Caenorhabditis elegans: one gene and its partners. The protein of the gene in region 1 interacts with the protein of each later gene in a pairwise test. Each region holds a gene or a part of one and is shown in the gene's direction. Other genes may lie near its edges.

Region 1 (5,455 bases):
ATGGTTCTGTAGCTGATAGTGAGTAATTTCCAGAATTTTCAAAATAAATATGGTCTGCCAGAGTGAAGTAATTTCTCTTTTTATCATACGATTCCGTTATACCGATTGTACCTTCTATCATATTTTTGTATAGACTACAATTTTATGTTAGTCATACACTTACTACCTTCGCCTGCCTACCGCCTATTTTCTGAGTTTTGGCGTCAGCTTCATGTAGTTTAGGCACGAGAAACGCGGGCAGGTAATCTGATGCCTACAATAATACTATGCACGAACTCTACTTAACACGGATATTTTGCTGTGTAAGCAGTTATCGGATTGAAACATAGCGGCAAGTTCAATAGACTCTTTTTTTCACCTGTAAATATTTTCCCAAATTTTTCCCTTGGAATACTGATTAGAAATTATTTTAAGATGTTTAAAAAGCCTTCAACACATATTCATAATATTTTGTTTCCGTTCGATACATCTTACCAATGCTCTGATGACATCAATGCTAACATTCAGATTTGTTCAAAAAGCTTGTTGCAAATCCCCTTTTTTCTTCTTTTCAACACAAATCCTATTCTGATAGCTGTAATCCTGTCATGTCCCTTTGATGATAAATCATGCGAAAAATGATGAAAAAAGTGTTAATCCGAATGTCAAATCTCCCCCACTATCACCAGCTTACCGGAAATTTTTTGAATTTCCGTTGAGAAGAGAAAAAGTAAGGAAATGTTGAAAATAAGCTGCAATTGGTACACTTCGCCAACGCATTGCAGCTAGTTATGCGTGTAATTTTAATATCATGTGATTCTATTTTTTATGTTTCTCATTTTTTGTTACATTGTCACTGTGTGACACCATTTGCTCTGAAATTTCTTTTCTTCTTTTTGTTGTAAAATTCTCTATCATTTTCAGTGATATATCAGAAATGTTACGATGGTTTCACGTAGAAGACGAGAAGACTTTCCTGTTTGGAATACAATTTCGAAATCGAAAACTGGTCACATTCTTTGCTCTGGTTCAATTAGTAGTGGCTTCTGTATCATTTGCTCAACACATTTACTCAGTTGCTCTTTTTAATAAGGTTGGTTGGAACAGTAGATGGAAGATGAATGACTTCACACGTTACCTATAAATCTTTTGGGGATTTTTTAAATCAGATTTTAAAAAAGAAAGAAAAACAAAAAACACTTTAAAATAAGTTTCCGAAGAATCTAAAATCATTCTATGACTCTAAACAAGCTTAGCAAACTAAAGAGCTTCTGTACCTACCCCATACATTCCAGCCCTGATCTCCTGCTTTTTTGTTTTACCGGGTAGACATATTAATTTCAAAATACATTTGTACATTTGTTTCCTAGAACGAAAATCTTGAAAAACATTCCGACTTGATCGTTTACATTAATTCAGATATTCTATTGCTCATTCAACGAAACTCGTTCCAATACCGGTCATTTTCTATCTCATGACGTGATTATTTTCGACTTTGGTCTTTTCCACGAATTAATTAATGTAAGCTGAACATTTCGTTCATTTTTTGTTGGATGGTTCTCCAAACAAGTATTTTCAGGTCCAAGAATGTATAGCAAACTATTTAGACGGTGGCTATATGCGGTGTCTATGGTGTTTCACTCAAATGATTGCATTGACCTTAACAATATGTAAGTGCTCCAAGGGGAAGAGTAACATAGAGTGTCAATGAACTTGCCTACTTTCTTACCTACTGGGCGACCTAGGCTTGCCTCGTGCCTACTTCCAAAGTTCCCGATATAGATTCTTTCAATTAGTCGTTGCCCGGCACTGCTAAGAAACGGTCCTATTCCTATGCCATAGTTTATCGATCACAGCCTTTCCAAAATTTTTAACTGAACCTTCACGTTTACAGGGACAACACTATGTATACCAAAACCACATCCTTTACTGTTATGGCCGATGTTAATAATTCAAAATGCGTATTGTTTTGGATTAGTAATTTTAACAATAGCAACGGCAGATAAGGTAAGGTTTCCAGTTTATGTCTTCTAGCAGGGCATTAAAACTGGAAGAAAGTCGTCGTTTTTTTCATGATCAAAATTGTTTAAAAGTCTCGTTAGACTCTTTGATCTATTAGATAAATATCAGAACTACCTTTAGGTGGAAAGTTCAAATTCTGGAGTCTGAGCAATCTTAAAATATTTCAGCTCCTGGTTGCCCTGTTCCATCCTGTTAATGCTCACCTGAACCTGATGATTTTATATTTTGCCGTTGGAACATCAATCAATCATTTCTTTGACTACATCCTCTGGCACTACTATTGGTATGAAGAATTTCAATATATTGGTAGAACAGGAAAACATGTGATTCCCTTTTGGGTGTAGATTTTATTTCAACTTTTTGTTTTGTTTCAAACTCAATTGTCAACGAAAAGCCCCCTTCATTTTCATAATCTCTGGGACAAAAAATATTTGTATAAAAACGGTTACTGTGTTCCACCTCTGCTTCATCTGAACTATGTTCTCTGCATCGAATAAAAATTTGTTTAGTTGTTATATCATATTTTTATACTTGTATAAAACTTTTGTTAGTGTGAGAAAATAAACATGCCAAAGTACGTAAAACTGTTAGAATTCACTAATATTCCCAAATTCGAAGAGCATTTTAGATGATTATAAAAATCTCATTATGACAACGAACAAATTTAGTCTTGCTGTAGGTATGAAGCAGGCGTAGGCCCTCTTGAAAACATTTACGCAATTTAATTTTAAAAAAACCTTAGCACTTCATTCATATACAAAATTGTTTTGGAAAATTTATTTATCCATTCAATTCTCAATTTCCAAGTAATCACGCAACACTTGAGGCACGTTGATATGATTCCTTTTCTCCGAGTAAAAGCCATGCTGTGTTCCGCCCGAAAACAAATACATAAAAGGTTTATATTGTAGACGTTGGCTGAAACATGTCCTGATTTCACCTGCTTTCCTAGAGAAATGTTAACATCTCCACCTATTGCACAATGAGCCCATCTTCACCTACATTATCTGATAATAGGTAAAGAAGGACCACCTTGCACCTCTGTCATCATGATGATTTTTAGAGCATTATCATCATTTCTAGTGGGTGTGGTCTACAGTAAAAGAGCCCAAAGAATATCAGTTTGAGTCAGTATTCATACTTTATTCCTTCTCTCTATCACTATGGCTTATCCGTACCCAGTTTTCAATGCTGAAAATGTCTTTGACAATACCCAGCAACAAGTTGGATTCTATGATTATTCAACTCCATTCAATGGTACATACTCCTTCACTACTGACTATTCTTATTATAATAACTACTATGACTATGTCAATACTTATGCTTCTTATTATCCAACTGCAATGGATTCTTCATCTTTAAATATTTCACCAACTACTGGAAGTCCTAATTCTTCCCATTTCACCACGTTTACTCATTTTTCTACTCCATCTACATCTCCATCTACCTCTACTCAAAGTTCAACTCCACCGAGCAATTCTGATAATAAGAAGTCATTTCAATGCTCAAATTGTTCAGTAACTGAAACAATTCGTTGGAGGAATATTCGATCAAAGGAAGGAATTCAATGTAATGCTTGTTTTATTTATCAACGGAAATATAATGAGACTCGTCCAGTCACTGCCGTTAACAAATATCAAAAAAGAAAATTAAAGGTACAGGAAACGAATGGTGTAGATTCTTCTTAATGTAAATTGTATCATTGTAAATTGTATAACTCAATTGTAATTTTCTTGTTTTAAGCCGGTAAATTGTTTTTAATTAATATGATCTCATAACTTATATTTATATCTTGTTCTCGATTTTAATTACATCATAACTTTAATTGCATGGATTGGATGCCGTTGTGTATAAAATAACACTTCAAAAAATAATCATTCATATTGCAATTTTACAATAGAAACGCAAAAGAAAATATTTTAAAACGGAAAATGGTTAATGTGGTGGTGTTGTGATGGAGCATCCAAGAATCGCCTCTATTAACCACTGCTCGCTGACAAGATTGTACTTTGTGCAGTCGCGGAATTTGTCTCCTATCTGTAAAGAGAAATAAAAATGTCACCAAACTGAAACTACCGAATCCATAATAACAGGAAAACTCCTTCGTTAAACTTACATCATGTGTCAAGCTGTAGAGCACAAAGTTTGGTTTCAAGTTGGCATTATGGTACGGCGGTGGATCTTTTTCGTCAATAATGGGCTCCCTCGCTGCAGCTTGACCACCGGCAGATCGAATAATTTCAAAAAGAGCTGGGCGATCTGAAATTGAAAATTGAAAAAATTAAAATACTGTAAATTAGAATCGTACCGAGGAAGTTATACTTTGGCTTTGGAATGAAAAATTTGCAACCGGCGAACAATTTTGGTTGCTGAAAAATTTGGTTGTATTTTTTTCTTTAGTGGAAATCAAATCCGTACCATTTTAGTGATTGTCTTCTTCCATTGTTCAATAGTATTTTCAAATACTTCACCTTCCATCCATCTAACTTTCTGAACCATATAAGAACGATCATCATCGACTTTCGATGGATCAATAATGCACGCTCTCAGCCAATCTCGACTAACTATCATTCCCGATCTGAAAGTATGAATTTCCGCTTTGAAATTTCATATTTTCACATAGATTTTTTTGGCTCTCATACTGCACCCTTGCGATTGTTTGCAATTTTCCCATGGGATCAGTCTATAACTAGACAGGGAAACGCATTTTATAATACAATCGAGCCACTGTGAAACTGAAATGAAGGTGTTTCTGGTGAGTTATATACTACTTTTGCTAATATTCAAAACTAATTTTGCAGTGTTTCCTTCTTCTTCTTCTTTCAATTTATGTTAATGCAAAGAAAGCAGAATGTCGAACTGATTCGGATTGCTCGGATAATAGGCTTTGTGTTTATGGACAATGTCTTTTTTCAAATCATGCAAGTGGTGGAGTTGTTATCACTGACGAAAATGCTGATGAACCTTGTACTTTTGACTGTCCAGTTGGAAAAAAATGTGTGGCAGGAGCCTGTGTTCGTGCCTAATTATCTTTTTATCTCCAATAAATATGTAATGCATTGCGACCTGATTTGAAGGAATGATAGAAAATAGACCATAATTACCGAATATAACTGTTAAAAAATTATTTCAGCTTTGGAAAAATAATAAGTTCTGATTAGTTTTGAACTCTCGTGCAAATGAATGGCTAAATTCGAACGCTTTTCGTGATTTTTGCTTGATGTTCCGAAGATTGTCAGATTTTCATAAATTTTTTAAGCAAAAAAAAAGATGAATAAATGTGAAATTATCGACTTTCAATTCAATTTTGAAGTTTCAGCGAATTTCTTTCTGATTATCATGCGTTTTCTTACGAACAAATGCCTTCCATTTATTTGCGCGAGAATTTAAAAATAAGTAGCCCATTTTTTGAAAAATTTCGAAAAAATTAATTTCTTAACAGCTATAGTCTGTC
Region 2 (9,619 bases), on another chromosome or scaffold:
TCCAAATGACCGTAAAATGCGCCAATCTACTCTGAGATGTTGCAAAACACAATGGAATGAGAGGGGAAAAAAGAGATAAGCTCTTACCCACCAGTAGTTAAACTTAATGGTGTTGTGGTTTGAACATGTAATGACCATTAAAAAAGGTGACGGTATTAGTGGAGGTCTACTAAATATGTAATGTATCAAAATGTTTTTCTGTTCTATTCATTTTCAAAAATCATATCCTGCATATCATTCAAATTCGGAAAAATCAAATCTGTTGTTGTCCTTTGCTCCCTACATTTTTGAAACAATAGTAGTTTTATGACGTTTAAAAATTCCCATTATTTGATGATTCATTTTGGTTATCTGGTTATTCATTCTCACAAAATTGTTGTGTGTCAGTTTTTCCGCATTTCAGTCGCCGCAATAAATTCACAGAAAAAAATAAGTCCGATTTTTTTGTCTTACAGTATAGAATATCTGCATTTTCATTAGGTTGATTTGTGGTAATTTATAGAAAACGAAAAATTAATTTTTCTTACTCATTCGTTAATGACATCGTAGCTCAATCAATTCATTGTAATTTTATAAATATCAAAATTGTTTCTGTTGAATTAATAGTGACGAACAACCTGTGGAACAATAATTTTTTAGAAGTAATAAATCAAAAAAAAAATTCTTACAGTTTTATTTTCTAATTATGTTTATAATATTCATATTCCAACATTGCAAAGGTTCGAACATGCGACAGTGCTTTAGCTTATTCGAAAAATGGCAAAAACTCAGATATTGTCATCTTCTGACTAGAAGTAAAATACTTTCAAATAAACTTTTGAAAATTTTATTATGATATGTGGTCATTTTAACACCTTATAAAAATTTTTAATCATTTCCCCACCAGCTGTACCCACACTCTCCAATTTTCACTTCATATTCAAAACCGTATTCAAAAGTATTCAAAAAATTCAACCCACATCGCCAGGTGTGTTCAAATTTTAACATTCGTTGTTCTCCAACCCCTACAGCCACCAGACTATGCGCGAACTGTTCGAATACGACAATTATTTTTTCACTTTGCTACAAAATGTCCAAAGGTGCCCCCATCTTGCTTGGGGTTTCAATCTCGATTGGGGCCGCCCCTGTAAGACTCTTCCCTTTTTCTATCTCGCAGTTCTTACGTAACCGCCTTGCATTTCGTCGCGCCTGCCCTGTCCGCAAAAACGATTAGAACGATTAGCTTGCCGTTTGACCTAAAAAAAAATCATTCAAGTAGCTGCTGGCTCGTCGTTCCTTCTCGTCATTACGTAACTTTTCAATTTACTATGGTATAAGAAGTCTTTCAGAGGTTTTGATAAAAGTTGAACTACGGCCAGTGGAAAATTATTAAAAACAATGGCGCAAAAATAATCAAGCTTTAAAAAAAAATTTGGAAACATTTTTATTCTGAGTCTGAACTCACTCACAAAAAAAATTTTAATAAGCTTTTTTTGTTTAAAATTGTGTTCAAAATATGCATACTTCAACATTTTAGAGGTTCAAACATGCAAACTCAGTTTTCTCCGCTTTTCGACTCTAAATATTATTAAATATTGCAAAAGTTTCATTATGATACTTAGACGTTTTAGCACAAAAGGCGTGGTTTTGAACCATTTCACTAAGTCCAAAAACTAAAAATCGCAACAATTGTAATATGCTAATACATATATGAATAGGAGCATTCTCTATTTGAATGTCTAATTGATGCAAATATGTGGACCATAAAAGTATGTTCCTAGGTTCTTCAAACATTCTTTCCAATACCTGTTAGTCCTGCTAAAATTGAAAACTTCTAAAAAATGTTCATTTCCATTTCCCTTTTTTCTCATATGTTCCTCCTACTTGCCCACCTAGACCTCTTGTCACTTTGCGTTCACCTGTCTGTCTTTTGATGTAGTATATGGAACAGTTTTCTTATCCATTCGCTATATCTCCATTACCTTACTCGCCTCTTGTTTCTTTTCTCTCGGAGATATATACCAGATAGACATTTGGCGGGAAAAGGCAAGATGTGCTATGATAGCTACTGATTATGTAGCCGTCAAGAAAAGGAACGCGACCTGTACGCGGGAGGAGGTGAATCCTTATTATACGAGCGCCTGGACACACGGCCAAGGCCAATCCCTGTTCGTGCCGAGAATCTCAACGGGGTAAGATTCACACTCTTATCCGTCACCGCTCTACAATTACTGTAGTTGCTGCGGCGTGTGTAGGCCCAAAAAAATAATACAGATAGATAGAAACTCAACAGTCATACTCAACATTTTCAAAATTTTGGTAGTGTGTGCCCAATTAAAATAGCACATTGAATAGAGATAGTTGAACTTGTTGATGCGGATCGAGAAAACCGGCCTCAAAGCATTGTGTGATTATGGGGTCGAATGGCAGTCAGAAGAGAGGGGGAGCGGGAGCGAGAGAGAGACAAAAATTCGAATATAATAGCGATGTTGGATAGTTTATTCTAGCATTGCGCAACCCGAATCAATTTTACAAAACTGGTTTTGTTGTGGTCGTCCAATAAGAAAAAAGAACACGAGAATCGAAGATGCGCGCAATCCTCAACTCAAGCAATCATGCTGTCTATGGTTTGAGGGCTTTTTTGGTGTATCCCTCGCGTCATTCTATTTTTTTTTGGGTCAGCCGTGTTTGGTAGAAGTTTCCCAACTGTTATTCGCTTGTGTTCTATACTAAAAAAAAGCTTGAACAGCTTGCCCACATCTGTTCCTAAGAGCATCGTGCTTCTATCTAAGACTCGCTTCCAACTTTTTTTTTTCAAAATTGAGAAAGCTAATCAACTCGCAATTGCTAGCCAAAATTGTTGCCACTTACTATCCCGACTGTGCTTGATGCCATTCCCCTCACCCCGTGCGTCCCGTCGCTCACTATCTCTATTCTGCATGGTATGCCCCGCCTCCAAAAATCGGGTAGGCGGGGGGAGTCATAGCCTTCAGCTCGTTCTTGCACTACTGCTTGCCATTTTGTTAGTCCAAGAGCACAGGTCACCGGATTACTGTAGTATTCATTTTAAGATTGCAGAAGCCGTGTGACAAATTTCGATTTTGAATGTTCTGTTATTTTCTCACTTCCTCCTCTCGAGCACTCTTACCTTCCCCGCCATACTTGAGCTACTGTAATGCATTGTCCAATCGCTGCTATGTATGCTTTTTCGCTACTTTTAAACAGTATCAAGTGAGGGTGTAAATACCTGGTTGGTGTCAGCCGGCGACGACCTTCTTGTCTCCGGAGAGAAGAGCTGCGTCTGAATACCTTTTCGAGTGTTGTACGCAAAACTTTTCAAGTAGTGGAGGTCTTGGTAGCCCATCCTACTTGTTCATCTATGAGCGCTCTTTCATTCAAACTGTCCACCGTTTTTTTCTTCTTCCTTGTTAGTGTTTCCTTTCAAATTCGATTTTGTGAAAATTTCAGCACCATTTTCTAAAAGCTTCATCAAATAACAAAAACATTTTTAGACAATGCCCTATCGTGCAGAGCTAAAACGTCCCGATTTGAAAGGCTCATTTCCCTGCTCGATTTGCCAAAAAGTATTCTGCCACAGTTCGTCTCTGAGTCGTCACCGGATGCAGGCTCACTTTAAAAGCTACACCTGTACCACTTGCAACAACGAAATTCCAAGTAAGTTTGAAAATGCAAGTTTGAGAAAAAAAAGAGAAATAGATGAATCAGAGTAGCAGGAGCTTGACTAACAATAGGGGAGAAAGAGCGAAACAATTTATGCCGCTATTGATGTTTTCACAGTTTTGTATCATGTTTTATCATATGATAATAAGAAAAAAGAGAGGGAAACTTAACTCGAGAACATAGCTATTGTTGAATTGTACGGAACTTATTCTATTGAAAATTTAAAATTGATCTAAAAATCTAAAAATAAAAAATTATGGGTTCTAGGTGATGTTTAACTTTCTAATTTATTTTTTCAAAATTGAATTAAAATTCTGAACGAATGTTCTATTTCCTGCTGCATTTAGTTTCTGTCTTCTACCAGTTTATTGCATTTCTACATTTTTCTAATCTCCCTCCCAATACATTTATTTGATCGGAAGTCTCCATAATCTGAAATGCGCGAAAGCTCAGTGGCATTGTTTACTGACAAGCTTAAACTCAACTCACACCCTCCGATTAGCACGTGGCTATATTGGGCATGTGTCAAACAAGGTTGATACAGTCTCCTTCTTTCCGCCAAAAAATTACATTGGTTATCTAAATATTGACACCCTTTCCAACTACTACTGTATTCTTAATTGTAGACATCTATATGGCATGGCAAACTGAATGAGGAGGTGTGCAAATACCGAGATAGCTCCGACTGTCAATTAGGAGTATCTATTTAGTAATATCTGTTAAGCTTTTAAAACAACCATGTGCACTTTTGGACTAGTAGCAAAAAGTTTAAAGGTGGAGTAGTGCCAGTGGGGAAATGGTTAACATCCACTTATATAGAGCCAAAATGACCAACATTATTGACAGTCAAAAAGTGGCAATAACTGTGTTCTTGCCACTTTTCGAGAAAACTATAGCAATGCCGCATGTTCGGATCTCTACAATGTTTGAATATTTATATTTGAAAAATATGTAGGCGACTGTTTATCGACGACTTTCAAAAAAGTAATTACCAATTTTAAAAACAAAATTAAAAATTTCAAAAAATTTTTGTAGCGTCGTTTGGCAAATTCGGCGTTATTTTTTTTCAATTTCCCACTGGAGCGTCTCCAGCTATAATGGAAAGCAGTATCATGTATTAAATAATAACAAATTGACTCTAATATTTGTGCAAGAATCTTTTGAAAAGACACCTCTGACCATATTACGCCACAGTTTTACAATAACACGTCTGCTATTTGCATTGTCTAATTGCCCCATCTTTCCATCCCGAGCGGCTTCCTAAGAGAGCGAGAGGCATAAATAACCGACGGTATGTATGTATTACTTAATGGTTTCTTTTCTTGGAATGGAAGGTAGGATGAACCTCCAAGGTCAGTCATTTGATGACCATCCATCAGCTAATTGTTGGCACGCCACTGTCGCTAAGTGAGCTTGAGAGCGAAGAATAGGGCCAGCGCGCGGGCAAAGTAAAAAAAAAACCACCGATTGTCTTCTTTCCCCATCTTCCGCAACAAAAATTGCAACCTCTTCTTTTTCTACCACCTTTCCAACATTACAATTTATTGGTTGTTCACTCGCCGTCAATCATTTGTTACGGTTCGCTGAGCATGGGGGTCGTTCAAGAAACTTTCGGCCAAAGCACCCAGCTTTTTTCACACCTTACTTCACCGCTCGCCTATACGTGGAATCCATACGGCGGCATGTTAGCAGGCAGATCAACAGGATTTGTTATATTACTCGTGCGCAATCCAACAATAAGCGGATCAACCAGTAGAATACCGAAACATAACATGAAAATGTTTTACAGCCTGACCCCTGCGTTTGTCGTTTTTTTTTGTGTTACTGCTTTGTCGGTAGGCAAGATCCGCTATTCTATAGATTTTCTATAGTGCGTATTTTCAAATTCAGACAAACATGCAAATGAGGGGGGTCGTCGTAGAACATTCGTCACATTGGCACCTAACATGCCTTTACGGGCGCGCGTATAGTGTCCCAATGTTGCGAATTTCATTTGATTGATAGACAGTTAGGCTCGGTGGCACAAAGAATGGCAATTAAGTGGAATATGGAAATAGCAATGCAGTTGGGGTTGGCAAATAGCCATTTACATGTTACTTTCGACAAATATTTAGATCATTGAGACATGAATTCAAAAGCTGGAGAAGGGTTCAAATAGTATTTGATAATTACCATAATAAAATGAGTGCGAAATGAGCCGGCACTGCTCTCACTGTTCAGTCATTAGGAAACCTTAAGAAACAATTTTGCAGGCAACGATACACTACGCAGTCACATGTATCGAGTACACAACATTACCCGAATGTTTATGTGTCGGTGTTGCAATTGGGCTTTTCCCGACAAAACAAGTCTTCACATCCATATGCAGAGTATGCTGAAAAATGGGACACCGGGGGAAGCGGCTGTTTTAGCTAAGAGTTCAGATGGTAAAGATCTACCCACAAATTTTGAAATCCATTAATACAAATTTGCAGTTGTAGATAGCACATCCGAGTCGGGCTCCCCGCGTCAGTCTCCACCCTTCTCGCCTGATTTGTTGATGCAAAAGCGTATGTTACAAGTTGCTGCAAACAATAACAACATTGGATCCATTTTCCCGACACTGCTCAAAAGCCCCGACTCCAAATCGATGTTCCCCCTGGATCTTTCTAACATGGGTCCTTCACAGTTCCTCTCAGCGTGGCTTGCCAACAATCCCATCAACACGGCGGCCCTTAATCTGGCAGCGCAACAAACACCGTCCAAAGTACGTTACAACTCTTTGATGTTTTGAATTCAAATGTATTACATTTTAAGGATTCCATCCAGTCTTCTAATATTAGCGATTATGACGACTTAGAAGTGCAGACAACTGAAGAAGACATCAAATTTGAAGTGGAAAGCAGTGATGTCAGCCCTCGGTCAGTCATTGTCAAGACTGAACCAACTTTCAAAAGAGAACTGGAACACGATGCTGATATTGATGTGGAAGGCGATGATGTAAGGAAAACTTATTGAAATTTTGAGGAAAATTTGTTTTTCACCCCATTAAACTTTAATATGTCATATTATGAAACTTTCAAAATTTTCAGGGCGAACCACCATTGAAAATGACGATTGATGACAAAAACATCCACATTTCCCATGATCAGCCTTCTCCAACGGTTTCGGATTCTCACATCAGTGGTGGATCGTCTAGTCATTCGGGCGAAAGTTTGAAATGCTTTGATTGTCAGGTTAGGAAGTTGTCTTAAATGGTTTTGAATTATAATTTAAAATATGAAAAAAAAAAATAAAAAACCATCCATTTTGCGAGCGCTATGTGAAGAGAATCTGGGAATTAGGTACAGTACTTCTGGTGATATGATTAGTCTTTAGGTTAAGTTTGATAATCCAGTCATGGACTGCTCCACTTTCAAGTTCACGCTAGGTTTCAGCTGGTTAAAATCTCAGGGTCCTATAGCAAAACGGGTGCTTTCAATTGTGATGATAAATTTATGAAAACGGATTCGAGGTTTTTTGACACACTCGATTCCAAATATCACAAAAAATTTTCCTGAAGAATTGTATGTATTCCAATGCTTCACAAATTTAGGGGTGTCCTACAAGAAGCGCGCGCACTGTAAAAACTCGTGACCTGTAGTTCTTCAGCGGCCACCACTACCGACTGAGTTATCCCCCACCCACTGATATTTTTAATAATTTACATAAGTTTATGATGTTTCAGGTAGCCAGAGGGAAGCTTGTTGCAGTTGAGGACAAATGTCGTGCCTATGAAAAGACCATTAGAGAGTTGCAAGTTCAAGTGGATTTCCTCCGCAAAATTCAACCGAATCCGATGCCACCCGTGATGCTGCCTCCTCCGATGATGCCTATGCCATCTCCAGGGCCGAACAATCTATTTCAAAATCCTGCGATGAGAATGTTGTTGAACAATTTGATTCACATGAACCGTCCCTCAGTGGTTCCCTAGATCCAAACGATTTCAATTTCTTTATTTCCGATTTTGATGGTGTCATCAAATCTAGTTGAACCACGTAGTCATTTTCATTCCTTGTTTCTAATCAGCATTTTGAGCCATTGAAATACAACAATCCTTTGAGCAATTTCCGAAATACTCTGAATCAAAGAACCAACAGCTTTTAAAGCGGTTTTGGTTGGCTTTTAAACTAATTGTCGTTTATATCTTTGTACATAATGCCTATTCTCGTAGCTACTTCTTATCTTTGCATCCAAATATTTCAAACTTCCAAAAAAAATCAGAGTGCTCTCATTCCTGACAATTGTATTTACCGCAATCTTAGAAACTGGTGGACATTTTCCAAACAATCCGAATCTACTTTACTTTTTTGTTGCAATAGCTTCAATAAAACGTAGCCTTAAATGCACTCAGCGATTTACCTAGAACGTCCTTTACATTACTTCATTGTTCTAAATGTTTCCTTTTTTATTTCTTCTGGTCCTTTTCTTGACTTTTATAGCATTACCCTTTTTTCCCGCCTTGACTTTTTCCTTCCCTCAATGATTTCATTTCATTATATTTGTGATAAATAATTTTCAAAGTTCAAAATGCAGGAAGTAATAAGCCATACAAAAAACTAGCAAAAACGAAACTCTCACAAGATGATGTTATCCTCGCATAAAACATCATTTTGTTTGAATGCAAAACTGAACCCGTTTCAGAGGGTAATGTGCTTTCAGGTGAAGCGATGTGAAAATTCATTTTTACCTTTTCGACCCACTAGACGTCACAATCAGCATAGTGAAAGGTTGAGCATGATTCATTTCTGATTTCTTCCTGATGTACTCAGTCGATTGTCTAAAACTTCAGCTTCAAGAAATTTCGTACTAGTTGATTCCCTTTTTGCAGCTTTCGTTTTCTTACATCAAAACGAAAAATTGCTAGATGAAATACTTACGAACTTGTGTTTGGCTTCAATTGTTATTCAAAATTTCTCAGGAGTGTATTTAAAGTATTCTAAAACCATATAAAACTCCAAAAATAGTCAAATCTATGTTATTGCAGAATAGATGCTTAAAATATTTCTCGAAAATGAATTAATATTTAGATAATTTTTTGTGACTCTCCCTTGTCCATTTTATGTTTTGAACATTTAGTATTTTTGTATCACCAGCTGCTGCAAGTCAATTCACACAGGTTAGAATGTTGCGATATATTGAAATTTCCTATATCTGGTACTCCATTTTAAGGATGTAAAAATTCAGATATTGCAATACTTTTTAAAAATTGTAGAAATTTTTAATGTGCATCCAAAAAGTGGTACCCCTAATTTTGGAAGTCAGCTAGAAACGTTTTTCCTACCATTTTTATATTTCAACCTTTTTTGATTGTTTGTATCATAACAATATAAGGATTCAAAACTACGTCTAGCAGTTTTTTTTCACTTATTATTTTGAAAGTCTACCGAAATATTGTGCATTTTTCTGAAGCTGTTTAAAAGTTCACATGGTTTTACTCATTTATAGTTGAAGATTTTTTTTTCGTTTTACTAAACGAGGCAACCACTTTTCAAAATTATGTGAAACTGATCTTAAGCTATTGAAAACGGAGTAGTGTCTTTTGAGATTTTGTTTCAAATCGGGCGTATGATGCGAATTTTAAAATTTGTCGAGCTCTGCAAATTTGACAAATCTTTTTTTCCAATATCAGCAAACTCGGCAATTTCAGCAAATTTGATTTGCGGAGCAAATTCAGAAAAATATAATGATTTTTTGCCATTTTTTGGAGCACCCAAATTACTGAAGTCACGGATTTGATAGCACGGATTTGATTTTTTGGTGAGGTCCGTTTGGTCTGCCAGCATGAGAAAGTAACTCAATGCTATGCTATTTTACTAGAGTTTTTAAAACAAAATCAATAGTTTAAGTCAAAATTGGTTCGCCCAATTTTTGATGTGTGCGGCAAATTTGTAAATTTGGTGACCTCGGCAATTTTGGCACATCCACTTTTCTGAAACTT
Region 3 (7,426 bases), on another chromosome or scaffold:
GCACTTTGTCGGGAGAAAATGGAATGGAACTAAAAAAGCATACATTGATGATGAAGAAGAAGAAGCAATTCGATCCTGTCATCATGTTCGTTACCGTAAAACACAACTTTACGCAAAACGAAAAGCAAAAAGCAAACGGGCGGTCGAATAAAGGCGAAGAGAAAAAAAAAACGAAATGTCAATATTGTGATGATTTATGAGAGGAAAAGGAGGAGCAACTAAGAAATAGAAAAACCCGAAGAAAATGGATGATTACTCGTCTCGTCTTGCTCCTGTACATACCGTTGTCTTTAATTCTCTACCGTCTCTCTATAGAGACCAGAGAGGAAGCTTCTCCTTGTTCCGCAATCCTACTCCTCAAATTCTTATATTTGTTCTTTTTTACTAACCGACGACACCCCGCGACATACGTTTTTTTGCTCGTGCCTCGTGTATGTCATACATGGATTGGGACTCGATCAAGTTATTCAACTTGTACCATCCTTCTTTCACACAGTAACCTAGACACCTTTCTACAGTAACCCTAGATAACTCATAAATTTAAAAGTACTCCATTTATAACTGGAATATCTAGATTTTGTGCATCTGATTCTGGAAGGCATAATCAAAAATTAATCTCATACAAGTTCTAGAATTCAAAGATGTTAAAAAAATTAAAAGTATTTCATCTCTTTTTAATTGAAGTAATTTTTTCAAAATAAAAACATTTCGAAATTGGAATCTGATGAAATTTAACACAAAAATGCCTACCTACTTGCCTGCCCAGCAATCGCAACTTACCGTGAAACTTCTAGGAAGTTCTAAAAAATAAGTTTGTTGCTAATTTTTAATAGACCGTATTTGTTTTTCTTGCTCATATCACGATTCTTTGGTTTTATACAAATTGTTGGGGGTGAAATATTAATATGACTTAAAGAAGTACGATGTTTGCAGAAGGTAAATTTGTTTGGCCCCAAAGATTCCTTTCTATTTGTCTAACTTCACGGAAACCTAGTTTTATCATCAACTTCCCAATTTGAGTAGATTACTTGTATTCTCTCTATTCTAACATTTTCTTTTTCATTGCTCCTCTTCCATCACAATCTAGCTAAATCATAAAATTGCAACACAAACAGCCGCCCCATGGTTGAGGCCCGGGGAGGCTTCTCCTCATCATCATCGAGAGCCCCACACAGTAGTAATTCATTTATCTCTGCCTCTCTGCACCCTCTCACTTCTCGTTCTCACTATCTCAAATGGGCAATTTAAAAGTGGGCGGGGCTTTTGGGTCTCGGAACTGCCGGGGGCCCAAACTACTTGCATCTCTATCAGTTCTGAAACGGAGTGAAAAAGAAAAAGAACAAAATGGGCGGAGTCATGTATGAGGGAGAAGACGTGTCGGTCTCCCGTGGCGGTCGCCTTCTCTCTCTCTTTTGCAACAACTCATATTTTACCAGATCATATCTCGTCCCTCACACAGGCGCCCGGAGCGTCAGGTACAAGAATGAGTACCTGGCGCGAATCGAATCGAATATGTCTCCCCTCACCACCACCACCACGGGGGTGACAATTATCATCAAATTCGTCTCGAATCATCGACGACGTCTTCTGATGAAGAGAGAAAAAAAAAGACTTTTTCTGGGGTTGACTGTGTTCATTAATTCAATTAGTGTTTTATCAATCATTCAACAAATCATGCAAGTAATTCAGTTATTCATTCATTGATTTGCCATTTTTAGAAATTTCTGCTTTTTTAGTCAAGTTCTGAGGTTGAGACTTTCTTGAGAACTTTCAATAATGTAGTTCCATTTTCACATAAAACAATTTCAACCTGCCATGTTATTTTTAATATCTCAGCTAACACCTTTCAGAGCTCACTTACAGAAGCTTAACATCTGCAAGACGGAGCAACCATTTTTTCTGTAGTCTGGCGTCGAGCATGATTTTTAAAAATGATTTGTACTAGAAACTAATTGTGACGCCACAATTTGCGAGAAAGGGACACTGTCACTTTATAGCGATATATGTATCTATAACAAATTTCTGGGTTAGCTTTGCACTAAGGCTTGTATCTGAAAACGTCCGATCCTCATTTCCTATCTAAATTTAGAAATCAAACTTTACAACTCAACCTAAAATAATTCTAGTCTACAAGATCTGATGACTCATAATCCGAAAAGCCTGTAGAACACACACAAACAGAACTCAGACCCCACCAAATTTAACGGAATCTTCAACCGCATCTCGCACTTTATATTCATACCGATCCGATCTTTTTTCCATCCTTTTTTTCCAACTATTTCAATTGCAACACCGTATCCACCTCATGGAAAAGGGGAACCGCTCACTCACTCATTTTATACGATTTTCATCTTCTACACCCTCACTTACTCACATCATCACTCACTACCTTCCCCTGATCATTTTTTGAGATATTCTTTCTTTACCCAACCATGAACAACAAAATTTCATATTTACACTCGAAAAAAATCATCCGATTCAAGATTCTTCTGCGGCTATACTCGTCATTTGGCGCGAACTGATTGCCTATGGTTGATCCAAAAATTACTCTTTCAAAAACTGACAAAGCTCGGGGCAAACTTGAGAAAGTCCTGGTTTATGATGTACCCAAATTAAACTCACGTTTTATCTAGCTGTTGTGAAACTTGTATTGTATCGTTTTAAACTTGGCTGAGACGCTGAAAAGAGTTAGATCAATTTTGGGCTGAATCTGGGTGCGGCCTAAACCCAGTCATATAACCAAGTATTTCGTAACTTTTGCAAAGACAAATGGCGAGCCGGTGCATAATTCAAAAATGTTCATTCCAAAAATGCATTATGGGCAAATTTAGACTATAGGCTCGCCGCTCGATAACTAGCTCATTCGAGCAATATCATTTATGATTAATGACTCTATTTTAAAGTTCAATTTTTTATCGTCAATTGAATTCCATTCCCATTCCCTTACTGCCATCTCGTGTCTTCAATACTTTTACCATTTTACTCTAATAATATAAATTTTGATAATAGCCTTGTTTTCGCAATATGTGCCCCCTTGTCCCGTCGCCTTCTCATCTTTCTAATATAAATCGTTTTTGTTCTGTCTCTTTTCTCTGTGTGTGTTGTTTTGTATCCTTTTCTCTGCTTTTTTCCCTCTTCTTGTCCACTATTACTCTTTCATTCTTTGCCTATCATGCTCATCTTCTAGTAATTTCAACTTTTCAGAGCTCCAGATGAATGAGCTGCTCGCCGAGATGGCCGCGGTTTCATCCCGCAGAAAACAGTCAAAACCACGTCGAATGTCTGGTGGTAAGTTGAGGGAAATGAGAGGAAAATGCGGGGTGTTTAATGAAGTAAAAGACAAGAAAATGAAACAAGGCGATGATGATCGACCTTGAAATCTTGAAATTTTCTGCGAAAATAACAAAGTTGAATATTAAAACTTAAAACGCACTTTTGGAATGTTTCAAAATCATTTTAGTTCTACATTTTTGAAGGTTTTTAGACTTTCTAGAAAAACCAGTTATCACTAGTTTTTATGGGTTTTTGGGACATAAGTAATGAAAATTGGAAGGAGACAATAAATTGGTGTAAATTTACAATTTTAATGTCAATTCCTCTTATCAACTTATCAATATTATTCATATTACTTCGAATAGTTTCGGACGAGACATTTGCTAGAAAACCAGTATTAAAAAAAAATTAATATTACCAAAACCATCCTAGTTTGGCATTTTCATTTAAATATAATTTATCATATATTTCTCGTTCATTCATTTTTTTAAGTTTTAATGAGAAATCTGTCACATCTGTTCCACTTCAAGGAACACTTTTTCATTAAAATGTTTCCAACACAGAACCTTGTCAAATATGATAACATATCTCTTATCTCTATCTCTTTCGTATCTTCTTACCTCATTTTTAGTGTTTTTTCAATGCTTTTCCTTCGATTCTTTCAATCATAACCAATCAAAACCTACCGTAGTCCAAAGAGCTCCTCCCGAAGACCAGAGACACTTATTATATTTCCATTCATCTTTTCATATTGCTCCGCCCCTCCGTCACATTTCCATCCAATCATAAGCGACTATGAGGAGAAAGTGAGAGAGAAAAAAGAGCAAGAAAGCAGAGAAACGAGAGAGAGAGAGAGAAAATGTCCAAATATGGGAGTGCAAGGGGAAGGGAGAAAGAGTTTCGGAGAAAAAGAAAACCAATCAATTTGGCAAGTTCTGAGACAGACAGACATGAGAGAGAAAGGATGAGAGCATGTTGAAAAGGGGATGACAATTTGACAATTTGAACTTGGTGTCCAGCTCAAAGAGCAAGACTGAAATTTGTTTTGAAAGTTTTTAGTAGATAATGTTAACCAAAACGAGTTTCACAAATATTTCACCTGTGACAATAAAAGTTTAATTTTCCATTCAGTACTGTCAAACATTTCAACAGCTGTTGACAATTCGATGAATGTGAAGACCCAGTCTCTTAGAGCATGACTTTGTATGCAGAATATTTCTTGGTACTTTCTGCCTGTGTATGTGCATACAAATTTTACAGTCGTATATTTTCTATAAACATGTTGAAATTTAAGATTAACCTTTTTTTATTTAAAGATATATAGGCTTACTATTAGGCCGAGGTTGCCTTGCAGGCACGTATGCTCAAAAAAATTTTATATTCATCTTTGAGAAAAGAAGTGTATCATTTGTATCATAATTTCCGGTATCAGTTGTCTCTAAACCACCACCATCAGCTCTCGGCTTCATCTTCACAAATCATTTTTTGTGACGAACAAGTGCTCTTGTGTGTGAGACTTGAGACTTATTGTCATCTCATCTCTCTGCTGATTCTTCCATTGGCTGAGCCCATTATTATTTTTTTCTATTGAAAGCCTTATTGATTCTCTCTTTTTTGTGCTTCAAGTGGCAACATTATTGTGTTCGAGGTCCGCGAGCCGCCGCCTTCGACACGAGTCGAGTCGAGCCATCATAAAATCGAATTTATGATCGAACACAAAAGAAGTTTAGAGTGGCAGGATGAAGACGTTGTTGTTGCGAATCAGAATTCTTCTTCTGTGGGTCTTCTCCCCTCGAAACTCGATCATTTATTATAGTGTTTTTGTGTAATACGAGAGAAATAGTGTGCAATATCAGAGCTTCCTCCTTCAACAAGCAATATGAATTGGTTGGACGATGGAGACGAAAATTGAAACATTATGTGTGTGTGTCACAATGTGTGTGTGAGAGTGTGTATTTGAGGACCAGCAGAGTATCATCATCTCATATATTTTATGGATTTTTGATGGTAGCAGAGGTAGATGAGTTGAAAAAAAAGATATTTGGGGAGGAGGAGCGTTTGGATAACACTCATTAACATTGGAGGACTCTTTATGAGCGCGTGAGAAGAGAATGAATGAGACTATTATTGAATGGATGATATCAAACCAACTGACTCGCACACAGATAAGATGATAAAAATGAAGAGTTTTTGAGTTTTTGCTCATGAGTTGCAGTTACCAGAGTACTTTATTTTAAGGGGCTCAATTACGATATTTGCACAATCAAACAGTTCAAAACTGAAAATAGATAGCGTCATGTAATTCTCGCCTCGAACGAAAGTTTGGGTAGTTCCTTTGAATCCAGTACTATCTGATAATTGAAAGATTTCAGCTGCAAAAGGCAACTCGTCACCAAATTCTCAGCCAAATTTCGCCAACTTCGGCCACTTCCGTAAATGGCACCTAGAAAAACGCTAAAGTTGGTTAAGAAATATCGTTGATTTTCCGAGCAGTTTGACGAGATTTTTTGTTTTAACTTTCAGCTGAAATTTTTTTGAGAGCAGATTTTTCGAGTCTATTTACTACTACTTTGGAGGACCGTAATTTTGCTCTTAAATTGAATTCGGAAAAAATTATAATTGTAAAGGTCTCTAGGGGTATGCAAACATTTTGGAATATTTTTGGAAATTTTAATTTAAAAAAATTAAAGCCTAAAAATATCCAATTTTGAGCAGTCTTCCAGTTCTCAAAGAAATGAATCATTCACTTTAAAAATTTTCAAATTGAAATTTACTTTATACAGTTAATGTACAGCGACATTTTGTGTGGTTACCCAAAATTATATTAAAACAATTGAAGATATCTAGAAAGTTCAAAATTTGTTGCTTCCAGTGTTTTTTGAAGAAACAGGATTTACTTTGGATCTTTTGATCTAAATACTTGAAGTTGTCGTTTTGCTTCGATGTTTTAATTTGTTCGTTTGAAAACTTCAAATTATGTCTCTAATTGTACAATCATAGTCCCCTTTCTCAATCGGCCGTTATCATATTTACAGTATCCTCCATCTTTCCTCTGTAGACACATCGTGTCCCAATCGACTCGAATTAGTTGTAATATGCGGAAAAGTTAATCAAATCATGCCCTTTTTGTCAATAATCAATCGTTGACATCGTCTTAATTTTTCCGTTAAACCCACCTCCTTCTTCGTTTTTTGCTGCCTTTTTCGTAATGTTTATTAGAGCGTACTTAACCTTTTCACCCCCTCATTTTCATTCCTTTTCTCTAATTTTGGCTAATTCTCGCAATTATTTTTCAATTTTTTTGTTCAATTTGAAACTCTTAATGTTTTGTTGCGACCCGAAGACGTCGTTGTTGGGAGAAGGGGATGAAGTTTTATGTGTTTCCGACGCCTTCTTCTTCTTTTGATCATTTACCGTTTTTACAATTTTTTATGACATTTGGAAGGAAGGTTGTTGCTTTTTGGAGAAGTTTTATTTTACTATTAAATTGGTATATAGATGACTTTCTATTTAGGGACGATACTCTCTGTTTTATTGATAACTGAAGAATGTGGAACAGGAGGAGTAAGATTTATTTTTTGCCTAGAAGTTAGGGGGACTGTGAGGTGCAAAAAACTGAAATTGACCAACGTTCAATTCTGAAAATTCGGAAGTTGGAAATAATAGGGCTCAACATTTCAGCCGTTTGCTCATATGTCCAAATGGCAATAGACAGCTGAGCAGAAATATACTCGAAATGAAAAAAAACTAAAATAATTCAGAATTTTCAAAATTTTGCAAGATTAATAAAAAGAAACCTGAAATATAAAGTTTGTTCGAAGGCAAACTTTGTTTCAAAAATTAGGATAGGTGAACACGGAGCGACTCAAACTTTCGACTACAAGTATACATTTCAAAAACATTCTTGAAACGTCTCCCTTGAACACAATGATACCTAGATTTAGCCTGTAAAAATCTTTTACACTCCATTCTATTTTAGTTGGTAAAACTTTATGAACTTATCATGTTGCTCTTCCCAATATCTCCACATATTCATTTTTCTTCCAAACCAATCAATCATAATATATCCCCTCTCATAAGTCTCCACCCATCATCCAATCGGATGCCTCCTCCTCTCTCTCCGTTCATCTGTTCCATTAAGTCTCCGTTTCGA
Region 4 (7,466 bases), 650 kb from region 1:
GCCGTGACTGATTGATCGTATTATCAAAACACATTTTGAAATTCATCTATCTTTGATCGTAACTCATTGACTCATTGGAGCTTGAGGCAAAATATTTTAAAAATCGACCCATTTTAAAAACGAATAACTTTATTGTCGCGACATTTTTTTTTCATTTCCTAAGACTAATGTTTATATTCTTCTTTCTTAGCACTTTTTTGGAAAAAACTCATCGACGTCAAATTCATACACTATCATTGCTCATTGCCAATTAAAAAGAGAACTTTGATAACATGAAAGAACAGGGAAACAAGTAATTCTCTAGGTGATCATCAAGGCTGTAAATCAAGAACGAGATCAGATCTTCAAGCATCAAGCTTCAATCTCCCTTTTTCTGATCAAGCTTTTCAAGCTTTCAAACAAACTTTTTGAGAGTTATTTTTTATCAAACTGTATAAACCTCAAGACAATTTATATACAAGCTTTAAAATTTTTAACGTTTCTCTACTGCTGGCGTACTTTTTCAAAACAATTAATATTTTTTCAAACTCTGAGGTTTCAAGAAAGAACGGCAAATCGGATATGTGTTAGGCATTTCAAGCGTTTCAAGCTTCAAGCGTTTACACCCCTGGTGTAAATCACGCTCAACGGACCAAATAACTTCCTTACCGTGCTAATTTGCGTATTTTCAAACTAGCCTATCAAGAAGAATACAAGTCTAGAACACAAATGTTCTACAAACAAAATGATCAAAAATATATTTCTACTTTAATTTGCATTAGTTTTCAGAGCAAAATATCCATTATTTGTTGAGTTGCACATGGGTAAACACATTTTACCAAAAGCCGCCGAAGTTTTTGAAAACTCTTTTGTTGTTTTTTTTTTAAATTTTTTCGAATAACGGTCTGTAACTAGGCTGAAAATGAAAATATCAAAAATCTTAAAACTGATAAAATGTGGCTAAATATTTTTCAATTGCAATCCAATAAAATTTTTCTTCTGTAATTCAATGGATGTTGGGATATGACCGGTACAACAAAAGAGTTTTCAAAAACTTCGGCGGCTTTTGGTAAAATGTGTTTACCCCTGTGCAACTCAACAAATGATTGGTATTTTGCACTGAAAACTAATACAAAATAAATTAAAAATATTTGTGATTATTTTGTTTATAGATAATTTGTTTTCTAGACGCGTACTTTTCAAGATAGGCTAGTTTGAAGAAACGCAATTTACCGAATTTAGGATCTATATCTGAAGTTTTTTTCCATCATAATAATTGTTGAAATCTAAGATTTGAAGGGTAGGTTGAGTTTCGCAGCTTAAAATTTCCCAACATTTAGCGCTATTGGAACTACTCCAAAATTGGCCCAAAATATAAACTTGGTACAGAAATTGATAAAGCTTAGAATAACCTTGGTCGCGTTAAGGTTGGGCAGAAAGTGTTTTCATTCAACTCTTGTCAAAGGTTTAGCCAAACCTTACCTGTGTTCTTTTAAGTGCGGGTCTATTTTCTGACAAGCTTATTTTAATGTTTCGAGTTTTTGAGAATTTTCGAGCTTTGAGTAAAAAGTTTCCACTCATTCTGAAGTAGACGTATAATCTAACATTCTTGATATGGCAGACAGTCTAGAATCTAGTTTAAGACTTTTTTCAATCAGAGAATTAAATGTTTTACTATATTTAGGGTTAAGTTACGCTAAAGTTTCCAGATGCTTATATTCTAGATCTTTTGAACCCTTTTCGTTTGACTTTTTCAGATATAGTTCATAACTCCAATTTTCCAAACTCGCTACCTCTTTTCTCATTTTTCACCAGGCATCCCCCGGTGGTTCAATTTCCTTTCCTTTCATTTCTTTTTTGTCTTATGCTTCAATGTATTCATTACTTTTCCCTCTTTTTCTCGTCATTTGATTAATGAACTTCCTACTGTAACTCATTCTATCTCGTTTCTGTTTGCACTAGATTGGAAGACCAAAAAAAATCAAAATGAGGAATTGTCGAACATCAATTTGTAAAAGAGAGAAGATCCCTACACTTCTTCAACCTATTTTTTCTTGATTCGTGTACCTACAAATGAGTAATTGGATGCCATTCATTCCACACTTCTTGATGCTTCCTGACACTCATAAATCACTGTAAAAGAGACAGGAAATAGACTTGAGTCAATTGCATAATCACTTACTAATCATTTACTCACTTTTTTTTTTTATTTATTACCACAGTGTTATGCAATTCTTATCTCCTTATCTATACTGTGAGAGGTGTGAGGATATTGGATCATTTATAGATTGAGAAAACTGATAATGAAATAAAAAATGTGATGTGTTTGGGTTATTTCCTTTTATAGTACATTATCATGTGTTGTGGCTCTGAGAATTTGTAATTCTCTATGTACTGTTAATTTGAAAATTTTATTTTAATCAAAAAATTAAAAAAGACTTTCAAAGTTAACAAAAGTAACACATTTTAAGTTTTATAAATAGTTTAAATATCTCTGTTTGCATGTTTACAGTAGGGAACTTCTAGAACTTTATTCTTTCATTTTGTAAGAGGCGTTGGAATCAATTCAGTTGCAGTTGGCATTTCTGAAACCTCAAGTTTCGGGAACTTTTACTTTTAAGAACAAGGTGAGGCACTGCTGGAAATCTCGAAGCAATTTCAGATGCCTTGCAAAATCTTGAAAACATATTAAGCGTATGCTTCAGTTGTAGACTTTTATATTTAGGTATCTTGACAATTCCAAAAAATAGTGTTTGGTGTCGACCAAGTATTGATAACATTTAATTTAGCTAGAAATAGCTAGAAGCTTAAATTTTTAGAAAATCTGATCAATGACCTAGAAAAACTTCAACGTTTTTCAAAATTCCCATAACGCCGTTTTAAAATTTCACAGAAATTCGTCTTTTGGTCATTTGAACTTTTTGTGCATACCAGGCATTTGGCTCAAAAAGCGGACTATCAGATGTTGGCAAAAGTTGGTAAGAGCTTTGACAATACTTGTCTTAGACTATGTTGTCGAAACCTTGCTCAATTTCTGCTCAAGTTTTAGCCCAAAGCCGAGATACTCTCCCTTTTTGCCATTTTTCCAATTTTCATGTAACAATTCCATATCTATAAAATCAGAGAGTTCATAAAATTGAGCACATTTCGACTGACTCTTGACAACTTGTCCAATGGGAAAAAGTTGGTCAAGATTTTGTTCCTAAAAGCGGCAACTTAAAAGCGAAAATTCATTCTGCTCAACTCTTCTACTCTTGGAGCCCAAAAGCTTACGGTACCTGTCGTTCTCACCCCATGTCCATCCAGCGCTGTCAGTGATGAATTGAAAAGGCGAGAGCAAGAGATGTGCTCTCGGCTCCACGAACCTCTTTGATCTATGCCGACAGTGGGGGAGATTGGAGAAGAAGCATGCTCCACCCTTCACGTGTATCAGTACGTCTGCGTCTTCTTGTGCGTGCCGCCCGGATTAGAAGACATGAAGTGGGAGGGCGATAGAGGAAATTCCGATGGCAATACCAACAATAGAATTTTGGCAACATTTTTTTACGACCTTCTAGAATTAAGGTAAATCTCTCTTTTTTTAAATCCACTCCTGGCACAAAGCTTCTCAAAGTTCTAAATGAAACTGGAACTTAACTTTAAATAAGTTGAACCTAGAGGTCACCTGAAAAAGTTATAGGAAAATTCTCTACTATTTAAAACGTAGTCTTTAAATTTTGCAAGTTATGTACTTCAAATATCAATTTTCCACCTTTGTGGCAGAAAACGTTTAAAATCTAGTTTATTTCGGAACCCTCTTATATTTTCGCAAAGTTATCGACTAAATTTCAGTATTTGAAACATTTTTAGATACTCGGCTTTGGCTTCTGCTGTTTTTTTTTTGTTGTAGGAATTTATTCAAATTACCTGCGTTCCGAAAAAACATTTTATGTTGCATTATTGGAGAATATACCATTGAAAAATTGAAAACATATCTGGAAGAAATGAGCCCAGATTAGATGTTGCACTTTATGAGGCGTTGCGAAGGCGCCTTTTTACCGTGTTCCCGTTATTCTGCCGATCATTTAAATAAATTGAATCTCACCCTCGTTTAATTTGTGAATCATAGAAGAAAACAAAATGTAATCTTACTTTAAAAAAGCTATTATCACAACTTTAAATTATCCAACTTAAAAGCTTCATTGTCAGGTGTGTGCGACAAATCTACCGAAATTGCTGAGTTCGTCAAATTTCGAGGATTGCCCACAGCCTCAATATTTCTGAAATTTCATTTTGTAATCAGTAGTCACATAAATATTCAAGACATGGAGAATGTGTGGAATAGTGTTAGGTAACATTTCAGAGCTTAGGCCTACAGAGAAAACACATAAAGACTTCTAGTCCATACTTCTTCTTGACCTCATAGATTGCTTACTAGTTTATATAAAGCTATTTAGAGCAATTATCCAATCTTATAAGGTAAAACCCGCGGGTCTTAAACCATGACCACCCACTTGAGCACACCCACAAAAACAATTCGTCTCTCGCAGATTGCTCCTCAATTTATCACCATCATCTTTTCTCTCTCCATTTCCAACTCTTTACTTTTCTTCTCTTTTTGTTCTGTTTCCGTTCTTAAGCTTTTGTTGTTTTCCTAGTTTTAATGATTTCCTAAGGATTAGGTACAAGTAGTTGATAGGTTGATCTAATTCCTTTTGATGAATGCAGTAATTAAAAAAAACAAGGTTCTTAAATTAAAATTTAAAATCTATCAAACGGTAATTATTGCTAATTCGTGTTCTGAAATTTATTGGTTTCAATTATATGTGCCCAGGAATTTTAATAAATTTTAAAGCTCTGATCACCTGTAAAAGAAATTGATGGTTGCTGAAAGTTCTTCAAAATTTTAAGAACTGAATCATCGTATTTAACTTTTGTGTTGAAAATTTGGGCTCTTGGGAGATATTGATCCGGTCATTGATTGCGATTGTACACGTATCTCTGAATTCTAGACTAGCAGCACAAATTGTTAGTTTTCTTGCTCTCACTACAATTGTTCAAATTTAAATACCTATTCTACTAGTTATTCGGTTTTTGAAGATATGTAGACTTTAGGAATATCTGAATGATCTACTTCAATGAAAAAAATTTGATCTCTTTTTTTAACTACTGCATTCATCTCTATCGTCCTCTTATTCTATTCCCTCATCCCTTCCGCTTTCTGAGACTCCACCCTTCGTCCAATAGGAGAAATGGGCGGGATCGGGGAAGGATGGCGCCCGGTATTCTGTCTCTTTTGCAATGGAAGAAAAGAGGAGAAAGAGGGAGACGTCACATTTTTAACAAATGTTCAACCGCCCCGACGCGCCTCTCGTCCTCATTTATTATATCACCTCGTTTCCCCTCCCTCCCCTCATCTTTTCATCTCTTTTCAATCAATTCTTATCAATCACTTTCACTCGTTTTCACTCCAGATGACCACATCAACATCACCGTCATCCACAGATGCACCGAGAGCTACAGCTCCTGAATCAAGCTCTTCGTCTTCATCCTCATCTTCTTCATCATCATCCACATCTTCTGTGGGTGCATCTGGAATTCCATCATCTTCTGAATTATCGAGTACAATTGGATATGATCCAATGACAGCGTCTGCTGCACTTTCTGCTCATTTTGGAAGTTATTATGATCCGACTAGTTCTTCTCAAATTGCTTCATATTTTGCCTCAAGTCAAGGACTGGGAGGTCCTCAATATCCAATACTCGGAGATCAGGTTAGTTACGAAACTTTAAAGGTAATTTTTAAAACAGTATTATATTTAAAAAAAAAACACTACAAATTTAAGTAGATGAAATGATATTTTAGAAAAGTTCAGCAATTTCGAATTTCGTAATCTTTTTAAGTTCTCTGAACGTCACCATACTTTAAGCAAGAGTTGGAGCGTTATAGTTAGGAAGCTCCTCTATTGGCAAAAATTAAATTTGTGTAAAATTTTAATAACTAAAATAGTGTGTGATTCGGGATAATTAAAATAAAGGAATGCTCACAGATTTATAGAAAGTCACAATTTTTTATTTGCCGCACTTTTGACAACCTTCAAATAATTCTAGTTTCTGCAAAGCGCTGAGACCGATTTGGTTAACTTTTGCTAATCGAATTTAATTTCTGAAAACAAACCATTTTGAAAAATAAACAGGTGCTCAGAGACAATTAGTTCTTGAAACATTTCGGGTCCATGTGGAATTTAAATTTCTTGAAAGTTTTTTTTTATTTCATCTGTTTTTTTTTAATTCAAAAGTTCTAACACCCTTTTGGCGCCTCCCACTGGTTTGAAACTTCTGTCATTTCCCGCCAAAAATTGAAAATCAATCAATTCCTCAGCGTTTCTGAAAATAATCTGACAACGCGATCAATTTTATTTTCTCTTTTGAAGTGAGTGGACTGGCGCCTGGTGACTACCATTGGAAGAGTAGGAATTGAAATAAAATTTATGAGAACGAGTTACAAAATGGAGAATAAGAGGAAGAAGAGTATTCAGATTGAGATTAATGATCGTTCCATCGATTTTTGTACTTTTTTAGATTCACAATTGGAAGCTGCAAAAACCTCCAAGCACTGGTACTAACTATTTTTAAATATAAAAAAAGGTTATTTGAAATGTGGATAGTTTTGATAAATATAACAAATTTAATGCTCAACAGGTAGTTATTTTTAGCTTTAAATTCGATTAAGACACACATTTGCTAAAAAGTTTTTGAAGTTTTAGAGCAGAGTATCATTTTTTGGCAAAACAATGGTCTCACAAGATGAATTATTTTTAAACGATTATTCCTTATGAAATAAAAACTTACTCAAGAAAATATACAACTAGAACGACTGGTCCGTAGGAAAACCAAACGCAGTGAGGGAAAATGAAAGAAGAAGACTGAAGAGAGTGAAAGAGTGAGAGGAAGAGTTTCAAGATTAATTGTTCCCGCTGTTTGTCTCTTCTTGGATGCTAAGATGTATCGGTTAGAGAATCTCTTCCAAAATCTTCGCAACATTTCAAATATTGATTTTATTGAAGCTTGTTGATCTAGGGTGCTTTATGTTTATGTTAAATCCAATCGATCGATTTTTCAATGCCTGAAATAAATTTTGAAAGTTACAAAAACAGCCAATAAACTACTTTGATTCAAGTTTGCATTCAGTCTAGTAACAGATAAAACCCAATAGCTTGGAACCAACCGTCCATGATCGATGAACGAAGTTCTGAACAGTTATCTTAGCCATCCTACTAGAGTTGAAAAGCTCTCCTTCTTTCAGCGTAAACTTCAAGTAATTATAAACATTTTTTCAGTCACTATGCTATAATCCATCAGTAACAAGTACCCATCACGACTGGAAGCACCTGGAAGGAGACGATGATGATGATAAGGATGATGACAAGAAAGGCATCAGTGGTGATGACGATGATATGGATAAGAATTCAGGCGGTGCAGTGTATCCATGGATGACACGTGTTCAT

Evidence for each region.
Region 2: the proteins of med-2 (region 1) and ham-2 interact in a two-hybrid assay, tested with the Caenorhabditis elegans proteins (one large-scale study listed by BioGRID).
Region 3: the proteins of med-2 (region 1) and sem-4 interact in a two-hybrid assay, tested with the Caenorhabditis elegans proteins (one large-scale study listed by BioGRID).
Region 4: the proteins of med-2 (region 1) and lin-39 interact in a two-hybrid assay, tested with the Caenorhabditis elegans proteins (one large-scale study listed by BioGRID).

What each region holds. Positions count from the first base shown.
Region 1 is NC_003281.10:6,881,339-6,886,793, forward strand, and holds med-2 (GATA-type domain-containing protein), read left to right. Parts: upstream 1-3,164; coding exon 3,165-3,689; downstream 3,690-5,455. Other genes in the region: K04C2.7 (Polyprenol reductase), read left to right, coding at 917-1,072, 1,399-1,500, 1,559-1,649, 1,874-1,986, 2,169-2,345; brd-1 (BRCA1-associated RING domain protein 1), read right to left, coding at 3,937-4,038, 4,118-4,260, 4,310-4,370, 4,420-4,579.
Region 2 is NC_003284.9:4,551,200-4,560,818, forward strand, and holds ham-2 (Zinc finger protein ham-2), read left to right. Parts: upstream 1-3,485; 5' UTR 3,486-3,494; coding exon 3,495-3,654; intron 3,655-4,299; exon of another isoform or gene 4,300-4,443; intron 4,444-4,733; exon of another isoform or gene 4,734-5,175; intron 5,176-5,543; exon of another isoform or gene 5,544-5,682; intron 5,683-5,912; coding exon 5,913-6,086; intron 6,087-6,134; coding exon 6,135-6,406; intron 6,407-6,456; coding exon 6,457-6,639; intron 6,640-6,731; coding exon 6,732-6,875; intron 6,876-7,366; coding exon 7,367-7,612; 3' UTR 7,613-8,209; downstream 8,210-9,619. UniProt on the Caenorhabditis elegans protein: Probable transcription factor that acts downstream of egl-15, to promote migration of the HSN motor neurons from the tail to the gonad primordium during HSN cell differentiation.
Region 3 is NC_003279.8:7,035,696-7,043,121, forward strand, and holds the start of sem-4 (Spalt-like protein sem-4), read left to right. Parts: upstream 1-3,204; 5' UTR 3,205-3,212; coding exon 3,213-3,288; intron 3,289-4,945; exon of another isoform or gene 4,946-5,016; intron 5,017-7,426. UniProt on the Caenorhabditis elegans protein: Transcription factor, involved in positive and negative modulation of transcription. Binds to multiple DNA sequence motifs in the regulatory elements of target genes, including homeobox selector egl-5 and LIM homeobox mec-3.
Region 4 is NC_003281.10:7,532,667-7,540,132, reverse strand, and holds the start of lin-39 (Homeobox protein lin-39), read left to right. Parts: upstream 1-3,500; 5' UTR 3,501-3,543; intron 3,544-5,432; coding exon 5,433-5,732; intron 5,733-7,298; coding exon 7,299-7,466. UniProt on the Caenorhabditis elegans protein: Transcription factor.